Linked DNA regions of Saccharomyces cerevisiae S288C. The gene in region 1 interacts genetically with each later gene. Each region holds a gene or a part of one and is shown in the gene's direction. Other genes may lie near its edges.

Region 1 (3,641 bases):
ACAGTGCAATTATGCCATTCAATACGTCAAAAAGGGCATCCTGCAGAGATACAACTCTGTTTTGAAAGGGTCCACATGGTAAATATGGAAGCAAAAGAAGGATTGAGGCATCACTGACAACAAAATTGTCTTGCAGCCCAATTAATAAAAAAAAATAAAGTTATATATATAAACAAATACGTAAACAAAGGATAGAAGGCGAACTGAATCATCGTTCAGTAGCGGTTCTGGTTGCCGTTATTGTTCTGTTGAGAAAAGTTGCCAGAAAAATTGAAGGATTCGTGCTGTCCATTGGAGTTCTGGTTTCCGCCGTATTGCGGTCTTCCGTACTCATTGGATTGCTGTTGACCATTCTGTTGCGGTCTACCATACTCATTAGCCTGTTGCTGGCCCCCATAACTCGAATTTGAATTGGAGTTATTGCCCAGGTAGGAACTTGCCATGGAAGCCAAAGCTGAGAATGAACTGGAGTGGCCTTGTTGCTGCTGCTGACCCTGTTGTTGATGCTGATAGTTTTGGCCTTGTTGCTGGTATTGCTGCTGGTTGTTTTGGCCTTGTTGATTGTATTGCTGTTGGTTGGATTGAGTTTGTCCACCACCTAAGTAAGATTGAGCCATGGAGGCCAATGAGGAAAAAGCACCACCAGATTGTCCCTGTTGTTGTTGGTAACCACCGTTGCCACCTTGGTACTGTTGATTATTGTAACCTTGACTATTTTGGTTACCGTTTTGATAGGATTGGTTATAGCCCTGTTGACTATTGTTGGAGTTCTGATTATTATTGGAATGCATAAAAGAGCTTGCCATAGAAGCCAGTGCTCCAAAGGAGGAACCACCGGAGCTTTGATTTTGACCTTGCTGATTATTGTTGTTGGAATTCATGAAAGATGAAGCCAAAGACGCCAAAGCAGTAAAAGAACCTTGACCTTGACCTTGTCCTTGACCTTGACCTTGACCTTGACCTTGTCCCTGACCTTGGGAATTGTTACCTGACTTAAAGAATTGAGAAGCCAAGGCAGCCAGGCCGGAAGCACCCATACTTTGGCTCCCGCCGCCAGAACCACTTAGCATTGACATGACAGTCCCTACGTCAAACCCTCTGTTAGAAGAACCTTTATTTGATGAGTGTGTCATCACTGTGGCTAACAAAGCTAGTTTTCCTAGTTGCGTTTGGGAAGAACCCTTAGAGTCTGCCATTAAAGTGTTCATAAAAGATGAACCACCACCAGCAGCACGATCTTGCGAGGCGTCACTACCACCACTACGGTTGTCCATGACGTATCCTGCGATTTTTTGAATTAATGATTCAATAGTTGACATTTGCTCGTCATTGGGGTTCGACTGAGCTGCGGATGTCAACTTCGCAACAGCTTCTGCATGGTTTCCTTGAGAAAAATGAGACTCAGCCTCTGAGATTAACTTATCCGTATCCATTTCAGATCTTTGCTATACGTTTGTATCGCTATATGTACGTTCTTTTAATGAACTTTCTCCTTTCTTTATCGTGTAGCTTGCTTGGGTATCTTTTAATGAGTTGCGGACAGTGAGATTTTTCAGAAGGGCAATTGGCCAAGACACCAAAAACGTTTGGACGAGACAGGCATCAAAGGACAAGGTAAAAGGCGTTGAGCTGTGGCTGGCTGTGTATGCGTTTGAAATACCATGGATAGATATCAAAGAAAGATAGGATGTTTCATACAAATCCCAAATTTGGGGCGCGGACAACTGAAATACGTGGGTCCAGTGGACACGAAAGCTGGAATGTTTGCTGGTGTAGACTTACTTGCCAACATTGGTAAGAACGATGGATCATTCATGGGGAAGAAGTATTTTCAAACGGAGTATCCTCAAAGTGGACTATTTATTCAGTTGCAAAAAGTCGCATCATTGATCGAGAAGGCATCGATATCGCAAACCTCGAGAAGAACGACAATGGAACCGCTATCAATACCCAAAAACAGATCTATTGTGAGGCTCACTAACCAGTTCTCTCCCATGGATGATCCTAAATCCCCCACACCCATGAGAAGTTTCCGGATCACCAGTCGGCACAGCGGTAATCAACAGTCGATGGACCAGGAGGCATCGGATCACCATCAACAGCAAGAATTTGGTTACGATAACAGAGAAGACAGAATGGAGGTCGACTCTATCCTGTCATCAGACAGAAAGGCTAATCACAACACCACCAGCGATTGGAAACCGGACAATGGCCACATGAATGACCTCAATAGCAGCGAAGTTACAATTGAATTACGAGAAGCCCAATTGACCATCGAAAAGCTACAAAGGAAACAACTACACTACAAAAGGCTACTCGATGACCAAAGAATGGTCCTCGAAGAAGTGCAACCGACTTTTGATAGGTATGAAGCCACAATACAAGAAAGAGAGAAAGAGATAGACCATCTCAAGCAACAATTGGAGCTCGAACGCAGACAGCAAGCCAAACAAAAGCAGTTTTTTGACGCTGAGAATGAACAGCTACTTGCTGTCGTAAGCCAACTACACGAAGAGATCAAAGAAAACGAAGAGAGAAATCTTTCTCATAATCAACCCACTGGTGCCAACGAAGATGTCGAACTCCTGAAAAAACAGCTGGAACAATTACGCAACATAGAAGACCAATTTGAGTTACACAAGACAAAGTGGGCTAAAGAACGCGAACAATTGAAAATGCATAACGATTCGCTCAGTAAAGAATACCAAAATTTGAGCAAGGAACTATTTTTGACAAAACCACAAGATTCCTCATCGGAAGAGGTGGCATCCTTAACGAAAAAACTTGAAGAGGCTAATGAAAAAATCAAACAGTTGGAACAGGCTCAAGCACAAACAGCCGTGGAATCGTTGCCAATTTTCGACCCCCCTGCACCAGTCGATACCACGGCAGGAAGACAACAGTGGTGTGAGCATTGCGATACGATGGGTCATAATACAGCAGAATGCCCCCATCACAATCCTGACAACCAGCAGTTCTTCTAGGCAGTCGAACTGACTCTAATAGTGACTCCGGTAAATTAGTTAATTAATTGCTAAACCCATGCACAGTGACTCACGTTTTTTTATCAGTCATTCGATATAGAAGGTAAGAAAAGGATATGACTATGAACAGTAGTATACTGTGTATATAATAGATATGGAACGTTATATTCACCTCCGATGTGTGTTGTACATACATAAAAATATCATAGCACAACTGCGCTGTGTAATAGTAATACAATAGTTTACAAAATTTTTTTTCTGAATAATGGTTTTGCCGATTCTACCGTTAATTGATGATCTGGCCTCATGGAATAGTAAGAAGGAATACGTTTCACTTGTTGGTCAGGTACTTTTGGATGGCTCGAGCCTGAGTAATGAAGAGATTCTCCAGTTCTCCAAAGAGGAAGAAGTTCCATTGGTGGCTTTGTCCTTGCCAAGTGGTAAATTCAGCGATGATGAAATCATTGCCTTCTTGAACAACGGAGTTTCTTCTCTGTTCATTGCTAGCCAAGATGCTAAAACAGCCGAACACTTGGTTGAACAATTGAATGTACCAAAGGAGCGTGTTGTTGTGGAAGAGAACGGTGTTTTCTCCAATCAATTCATGGTAAAACAAAAATTCTCGCAAGATAAAATTGTGTCCATAAAGAAATTAAG
Region 2 (4,049 bases), on another chromosome or scaffold:
CAGTGATTCACGTCACTCTAAACGTCGCTTCTGTTTTTTTTTTGAAATTTTTTTCTCACAGCTGCTGAAAATTTTCGAGCGAGGCGATGAGATGAGCTAATTATATCAAGAGGGAATTGTACTAGTAATACTTTGGTACACACAAGAACAAGCATATAGGTATACAGTCACGACTATAATATCATAAAATGAGAGTCAGAAAGCGCCAATCTAGAAGAACATCTACCAAGTTGAAGGAAGGTATTAAGAAGAAGGCTTCTGCCCATAGAAAAAAGGAAAAGAAGATGGCTAAGAAGGACGTTACTTGGAGATCAAGGTCTAAGAAAGACCCTGGTATTCCTTCTAACTTTCCTTATAAGGCTAAGATCTTAGAAGAAATAGAAGCCAAAAAAATGAAGGACTTAGAGGAAAGAGAGCTTGCCAAACAACAACGATTGGAGGCTAGGAAAGCTGCCAAGGAACAAGGCGTTGATGCAATGGATGAAGACATGATAGAAGACGATGAAAATGGATTAGCAGCTTTGGTTGAGTCTGCTCAGCAAGCAGCTGCTGAATATGAGGGCACACCCTCTAATGATGCAGATGTTCGTGATGATGAATTGGACGTCATTGATTATAACATTGATTTCTACGGTGAAGATGTAGAAGGCGAGTCAGAACTTGAAAAATCTAGGAAAGCTTATGACAAGATTTTCAAATCCGTTATTGATGCTTCTGATGTCATCCTATATGTTTTGGATGCCAGAGATCCAGAGAGTACAAGATCAAGAAAGGTGGAAGAAGCCGTCTTACAAAGTCAGGGTAAAAGGCTGATTTTAATACTGAACAAAGTTGATTTAATTCCCCCACATGTATTGGAACAATGGTTAAATTACTTAAAGTCTAGTTTTCCTACAATCCCATTAAGAGCTTCTTCTGGTGCAGTCAACGGAACTTCTTTCAACAGAAAGCTAAGCCAAACCACTACTGCAAGTGCACTGCTAGAGTCGCTGAAAACTTACTCTAATAACAGCAATTTGAAGAGATCTATTGTAGTGGGTGTTATCGGTTATCCAAATGTTGGTAAATCATCTGTTATCAACGCTCTTTTGGCGCGCCGTGGAGGTCAATCAAAGGCTTGCCCAGTCGGTAATGAAGCAGGTGTTACTACCTCTCTGAGAGAGATCAAAATCGACAACAAGTTGAAGATTCTAGATTCTCCTGGTATATGTTTCCCAAGCGAAAATAAGAAAAGATCGAAAGTTGAACATGAAGCTGAATTAGCTCTTCTAAATGCTCTACCGGCAAAACACATTGTTGATCCGTATCCAGCTGTCTTAATGTTGGTAAAGAGACTAGCTAAATCAGATGAAATGACAGAGAGCTTTAAAAAGCTGTATGAAATTCCTCCTATTCCTGCTAATGATGCAGATACGTTTACAAAACATTTCTTAATTCACGTCGCTCGTAAAAGAGGTAGATTAGGGAAAGGCGGTATTCCAAATCTTGCCAGTGCTGGTCTTTCGGTACTTAATGACTGGAGGGATGGTAAAATTCTTGGTTGGGTTTTACCAAATACATCGGCAGCTGCATCTCAACAAGATAAACAAAATCTAAGTACTATAAACACTGGCACTAAACAAGCTCCAATTGCAGCAAATGAATCCACCATTGTATCCGAGTGGTCCAAAGAATTTGATTTGGATGGATTATTTAGCTCTCTTGACAAGGCCATAGATGCTAGCAAAGATCAAGATACAATGATGGAATAAATAAGTCATATGTAAGGCTATTTTTATGTAAGGGGTGTTTCTTATTTTTTCTTTATCATCAAATAACATTACTGTAAATTATAGGTGTGCTTTTAAACTCATTACTATACATCTTATTTTTTTTAGTTTTACTGCCTTTTTGCTCTTTGGACAAAGAAATCATTAAAAAGTTCCAACTTTTATTATGTTTCATATATAAGATATACAAAATATAAAATGCAAAACGAATTTCAGAGATAGCATGACTTATGAAATTGGGGACAGACTCAAGATTGGTGGATATTTTTGCACCATCAAATTCATAGGTGTTATTAAGCCGTGGCCTTCGGTAAAAGCTTATGGGGTGGAATGGGACGATCACAGCCGGGGAAAACATTCTGGAACAATAGATGACATACACTATTTTGACGTTCAAATTCCTAATTCAGGATCATTTTTGAAGGAGTCTAAGATTAAATCTCCAGGTGTACGCAGAATTACGTTTTACGAAGCATTGTCAGAAAAGTATGGAGGCTCGAGTAATAACATTAATGACCTATCTATAGGTAACAAAAGGGTTGAGGGTTTGGGATTCGATGAACTAAATGCGAGAAATAAGAATTATAAGAAGTTAAGAAAAATAGCTTTGCGAGATTCCGATGTCGCTATATTGTTTCAAAATCAAGATGAGTTAAACCGTGTAATACAAAATTGTGTGAACGTCAAGGACCTTGATTTATCGCTTAATCTATTCACGAATATCAACTCTTTATGTGAGTTCATAGAACCTTTGAAGAACTTGGAGAGCCTTAATATATCTCAAAATAAACTTTTAAGCGGTTGGGACAACTTGAAAGAATATGACCTATCACACATCAAAACTTTACGTCTGTCTTCCTGTGGTTTAAGTTATAAACATATTGGTAAGCTGCTCAAAAGCTTCAGGACACTGAAAATGTTGGATTTAAGCTATAACAACTTGACCAGTGCGGGAATCCAAAATTTTGAGAATGAAATACCGTGTACTTTGGAGGAACTGAATATTAGCGGAAATAATCTTATATCGTTTCCATTGTTTCCAAAAAATTTGACATTGAAAGGTTTAAATGTCTCCAATAATCAAATTTCTAGAGCACCAAGTATTGCTATTTATTCTGTTGAATCCTTGGATATAACAGATAACAAATTTAAGGAAAGAAGTTTGATAGATGATTTGAATAAGACATTTCCCTCTTTGAAAAATATCCATCTGAGTGGCAACGAATTCAACTACAACGGAAATTATATTAACGTCGAAGAACAGGCTACTTTTTATGAAGTACTGGCTAGGTTTGATCGTGTGATGGTATTGAATGGATCAATATGTGATGTAAAAACAAGAAGAGAGGCTGAGATGTTTTTTGTTTCCAAGGTAATGAATAACGAATTGAGCTATGACACCAATCTGCCGCGTTGGTCAAGCCTCATAAAGTCGTATGAAATCGATATGAGTAAGCTAAGTTTCAACAATGAAAGAGAAACACGGCAATCTCTTGTCTTAAAAATAAAGATAAGAGCTGGCAAGAAGCCGAGTAGTGATTTAGATTATTGGGTCCTTCCCAGTTTTACAGTAAGGTACGTTAAGAGTGTAATATGTCGAAAGCTAAACTTTGACATACTGAATGTTAAGTTATTTCATGAAAATTCTGAAGGGATGATAAACGAAATAAAGTATAATTTTCGCCCCATTTCAGATTTTAATGTTGTGAACGGAGATATTATTCATGTTTCGTCTCCAGTAAATAACAAGAGCATTCAGAAGGTTAACAGCCCATCGTAATCACAGTATATAGTTAATCTTGGCTAGTTGCATATTTAAAAATCAGGAAACAGCCTTTTAGATTGTAAGCGGATGTTATTCTAATTTTTTCTTAGTTTCTTTATTTTATTATGTAGCAGATGGATAGTAATATAGTGTTGACGGCTCCGTTTGTTACTCAACGCTGAAGTTCCATAAGGGGTCGCCCAAATGGTGAATCAATTCTATGGAATGACCTTTGTTCACTGATTTAATTTCTTCAGTACCCATCATCAATTCACCAATAGCCAATGCATTCTCTTTATTTTCGGCATTGATGACTACAATCGTACCTTTCTCGTAACCAGGAGCAGGTGGTAAGTCGGCACCCGCAGAAGTTAGGCCAGGGCACATGATATTAGCACCTGAGAGAACGAATTTAATAGCACCTCTATCAACCTGAACAGTGGGATAAGCCTCTGGAAATTTGTGTACTAATTTCAGGCTTGGAATCAGTTCATCGAATTTTTGAAAAAAAAGAA
Region 3 (4,092 bases), on another chromosome or scaffold:
TGCTGAAAATATCAAACAAAAATGGTACCAGCGACAGTCGAAGAAGCAAGAAGATGCAACAGACGAAAAAAAAGGTAAAGCGGAGGATGATAGCTTTACTGCCGAGATATCTCGAGTAGTTGAAGATGAAGAAATTGATGAAATTGGAACAGGTAGTGGTACCGAGACAGAAAGAGCTCAGGTTTCCTACGATGCCAGGATGAAATTAGTCCCTGCTGATAGTGATGAAGAAGAATATGAAACTAGCCACATTTCTGACACGCCAGTCAGTTTAAGTTCGGCTAATGACCGGGAATCATTGACTAAAAAAAGGCAAAATACTGCAAAAATTATCCAAAATCGTCGCAGAAAGCGTAAAAGAGCAGCTGACCTATTGGATAGACGCGTCAACAAAGTATCCAGCTTACAAAGTCTTTGTATTACGAAAATTAGTGAAAATATATCCAAGTGGCAAAAAGAGGCTGATGAATCATCAAAGTTGGTATTTAACAAATTGAGAGATGTCCTTGGTGGCGTATCAACCGCTAATTTGAATAATTTGGCAAAAGCACTATCGAAGAATAGGGCCCTGAATGATCATACTCTGCAACTTTTCTTGAAGACAGATCTAAAAAGGTTAACTTTCAGCGATTGTTCTAAAATTTCATTTGATGGTTACAAAACGCTAGCCATTTTTTCGCCACACCTAACCGAATTATCCCTACAAATGTGTGGGCAGTTGAACCATGAATCATTGCTTTACATTGCTGAAAAGCTTCCGAACTTGAAATCACTGAATTTAGATGGACCATTTCTGATCAACGAGGACACATGGGAGAAGTTCTTTGTAATAATGAAAGGTAGATTAGAAGAGTTCCACATTTCTAATACGCACCGCTTCACCGACAAATCATTATCTAATTTATTGATCAACTGCGGTTCTACCTTGGTATCCTTAGGGTTATCCAGACTAGATTCTATATCAAATTACGCTTTATTACCGCAGTACCTAGTCAACGACGAATTTCACAGTCTCTGTATTGAATATCCATTCAATGAAGAGGATGTTAACGATGAGATCATCATAAATCTGCTAGGTCAAATCGGGCGCACGTTACGTAAATTGGTTTTGAATGGCTGTATTGACTTGACAGATTCAATGATAATCAATGGTCTGACTGCATTCATTCCTGAGAAATGTCCATTGGAGGTATTGAGCTTGGAAGAATCAGATCAGATCACTACAGATTCACTGTCGTACTTTTTCAGCAAAGTAGAACTGAATAATTTGATTGAATGCAGCTTTAGAAGATGTCTACAATTGGGCGATATGGCAATTATAGAGCTATTGCTTAACGGAGCAAGAGATAGTCTGAGAAGCTTAAATCTCAATTCATTAAAAGAGCTAACTAAGGAGGCATTTGTGGCGTTAGCCTGTCCTAATCTGACGTATCTTGATCTTGGTTTTGTACGTTGTGTTGATGACTCGGTGATTCAAATGTTGGGTGAGCAAAATCCGAATTTAACTGTAATTGATGTTTTCGGAGACAATTTGGTTACTGAAAAGGCCACAATGAGGCCTGGACTTACGTTGATAGGGAGACAGAGTGACAGTATATAATAAAATAAAGACATATAAAACGTGTATTAGATAGAAAACGGAAAATTGACTAATGTTTTTATTCCTATTATACTCAGATCGTCAAATGTTGCCTTTATTTTCTATTGAAGGGATTTTATGGCATCTCGCGAATAATAAACAAACAATAATAGTAAAAAAAAAAGTGTAAACTTATGTATTCAGCGCAGATAAAAGGAAAAAAACGAGAAGTTTGACGTAAAGAAAAAAGTTCGAAAACTTTTGTAGCAGTTGAAAGTTTTGTATGCTATGTCAATTAGGCCTCTCACGTTAAACGGTTTAGATGAGCCAGAAACCTCTTTTGAAGAACTGAATACAACTCTACCTCGCTTTCAATCCCATGAAACATTAACTTTGGAAGAAAACGTGCCACCATTGAGTACATCAACTTATATACCGCCTCCATCCTCGGTAGGTACTTCTGACACTGGCACGGTATTTTCCAATAGTACCAGCGCGTTTTGGTCTAATAAGCAAGCAGACGATGATCAGGACATGGAGGTAGACCAGGATGATGAATTTCTAAATGACTTCCAGGAATTCCAAAATAAAAAGGATGATTTTGACGATGCTATTAAAACAAATTTTCATTTGAGAAATGGATGTCGAACTGGCCCTTTCAAAAACGACATTTTCGCAGAAGAGTTTGATAGAAAACTGAGTTTGGAAGATAAACCAAGGCTAAAGCAACCTAGATCAATGATGGAATTGAAACCAAAAAGAAAACTATCAAATAGCGTCACTTCAAGAAACTTAAGGTCTGGTAATTCTGTAAGATTTAAGAAATCTATGCCTAACTTAGCTTTAGTTAATCCAGCTATCAGAGAAGAAGAAGAGGACGAAGAACGAGAAAGAGAAGATCAACGAGAGTTTAATTACAAGATTGATAACGATACGCAGGACACAATTTTGGCGAAATTCAGTTCAGATGATGAAGGTGACTTTCTGACAGGATTTGAAGAATTAGAGGGTGAAGCAATTGATGAAACGATTTCTTCGAACGATAAAGAAAGTGCCGACCATCCGCGTTTCTTAAAGAAGTCATCCTCATCTTTGCCATTAAAAATATCACCTGCACAATATGATATAGTAAAGCATGACGAATTATTAACTCCAGGTCTTCATAGGCGACAACGAGATTGGAATACCCAGCAGGAACTGGACTCTTTTAAAGAAAAACGATCAGTAAGACACTGTTCTAATCAAAATGTACAACTCAATGGTCCAGCTAAAATCAAAACAATAAAACAGCAAATTGATCATAATACTCCAATGAAGAAAGGTTCTATGATATATAACCCGAAAACTATGAAGTGGGAAGGAAATGAAAACGTCTTAAGCAAATTTAGTGATGTAGACACGGCAAACAGGAAAGCTTTATTGATAAAAAACAAGCTACAACGAGATGCAGATTCTAAGAAGCAAAAATATTCTGATCTACAGCATGCAAGAGCCACTTCGAGAAATCAAAAGGTCATCGGGAACATGATTTTAGATGAACAAAATTTAAGATGGGTTAGTGTTTCAGAGGAAGAAGCAGACCCTTTTGCAGGCATTCCTGAGATAAACTTACCACCAGTTGGCAAAAGTATGAAAAAACGTAGCTCCTCACCATTTTTGCGTTCCAAAAGCCAAGTTAATACGCCATTTGTTTCAAATGACAATGATGGCGTTTATCAAAGTACGGCTGCTCAAGCAAGACTCCGTAAATACCATTCAATGAGGACACTTAACGGTACAACAGAAACTCCAGAAATAAGCTCTACTTTCCATTTGAGTTCAAGAGCATTGGAAAAATTTTACCACGAGGAGAACAGGTGGTGTAAAAAGTTAGCCTCATGGTTTATACCCCGAGATGAGACCATTATCAGTGTTGATGAGGAAACAATCATGGATGAAAGTACGGTCAATAGCAAGAGAAAATCCTATATGTATGAAATCAGGAACATGGTAATCAATTCGACAAAAGATTAGCCCTTTAGCCTTCTTATAACTGTTTCTTTACCGTTATCTTGAGTACATTCATTTCTCTTACATTCCAAAATTAGATAGAACCTTGAATCGTGTCAACTTTTCGCCGACATTTCGCGTCTGACAGAAAAAGAAATGTTGCAGAAAATTCGAATAGATGTTTCAAATGAAAATAGACCATGAGGGACACATTAACATTTCAAACAAAAGAGCCCTTGATGATTATTAAAACAGATCTTTATGGTTTGTTTAGCAAACACTTTGGTAATTTCATGAATATTTGACTAGCAGGAACAGAAAATCAAAAATGTTTAACCATGATTGGAAGTACTCCATTAATTCTAAGACTTTCGCCGATTTAAACATTGAATTATTTCGAAACCACAAGTTCAAAACTGTTTTAAATTACATAATAGGTGTAGTTGGGTGGAATGGATTAAAACTCGCCCTTTTTGTTTCTGACATTTACACATGTATCAAATTGCTGGCATTCAACTCCTGGT

What was found. Genes that interact genetically often act in the same process or in processes that back each other up.
Region 2: mutations in BIK1 (region 1) and PAC2 together harm fitness more than expected from each alone (negative genetic interaction), as found in Saccharomyces cerevisiae (3 studies listed by BioGRID, with this or other methods).
Region 3: mutations in BIK1 (region 1) and BFA1 together harm fitness more than expected from each alone (negative genetic interaction), as found in Saccharomyces cerevisiae (4 studies listed by BioGRID, with this or other methods).

The regions. Positions count from the first base shown.
Region 1 is NC_001135.5:67,942-71,582, reverse strand, and holds BIK1 (Bik1p), read left to right. Parts: upstream 1-1,661; coding exon 1,662-2,984; downstream 2,985-3,641. Other genes in the region: prion domain-containing protein RNQ1, read right to left, coding at 216-1,433; HIS4 (trifunctional histidinol dehydrogenase/phosphoribosyl-AMP cyclohydrolase/phosphoribosyl-ATP diphosphatase), read left to right, coding at 3,250-3,641. UniProt on the Saccharomyces cerevisiae protein: Required for nuclear fusion, chromosome disjunction, and nuclear segregation during mitosis. Probably required for the formation or stabilization of microtubules during mitosis and for spindle pole body fusion during conjugation.
Region 2 is NC_001137.3:162,535-166,583, forward strand, and holds PAC2 (Pac2p), read left to right. Parts: upstream 1-1,992; coding exon 1,993-3,549; downstream 3,550-4,049. Other genes in the region: RNA-binding GTPase NUG1, read left to right, coding at 189-1,751; TMA20 (translation machinery-associated protein 20), read right to left, coding at 3,703-4,049. UniProt on the Saccharomyces cerevisiae protein: Required for viability in the absence of the kinesin-related CIN8 mitotic motor. Seems to be involved in the assembly of alpha-tubulin.
Region 3 is NC_001142.9:532,160-536,251, forward strand, and holds BFA1 (Bfa1p), read left to right. Parts: upstream 1-1,867; coding exon 1,868-3,592; downstream 3,593-4,092. Other genes in the region: UV-damaged DNA-binding protein RAD7, read left to right, coding at 1-1,600; KCH1 (Kch1p), read left to right, coding at 3,897-4,092. UniProt on the Saccharomyces cerevisiae protein: Part of a checkpoint which monitors spindle integrity and prevents premature exit from mitosis. This cell-cycle arrest depends upon inhibition of the G-protein TEM1 by the BFA1/BUB2 complex.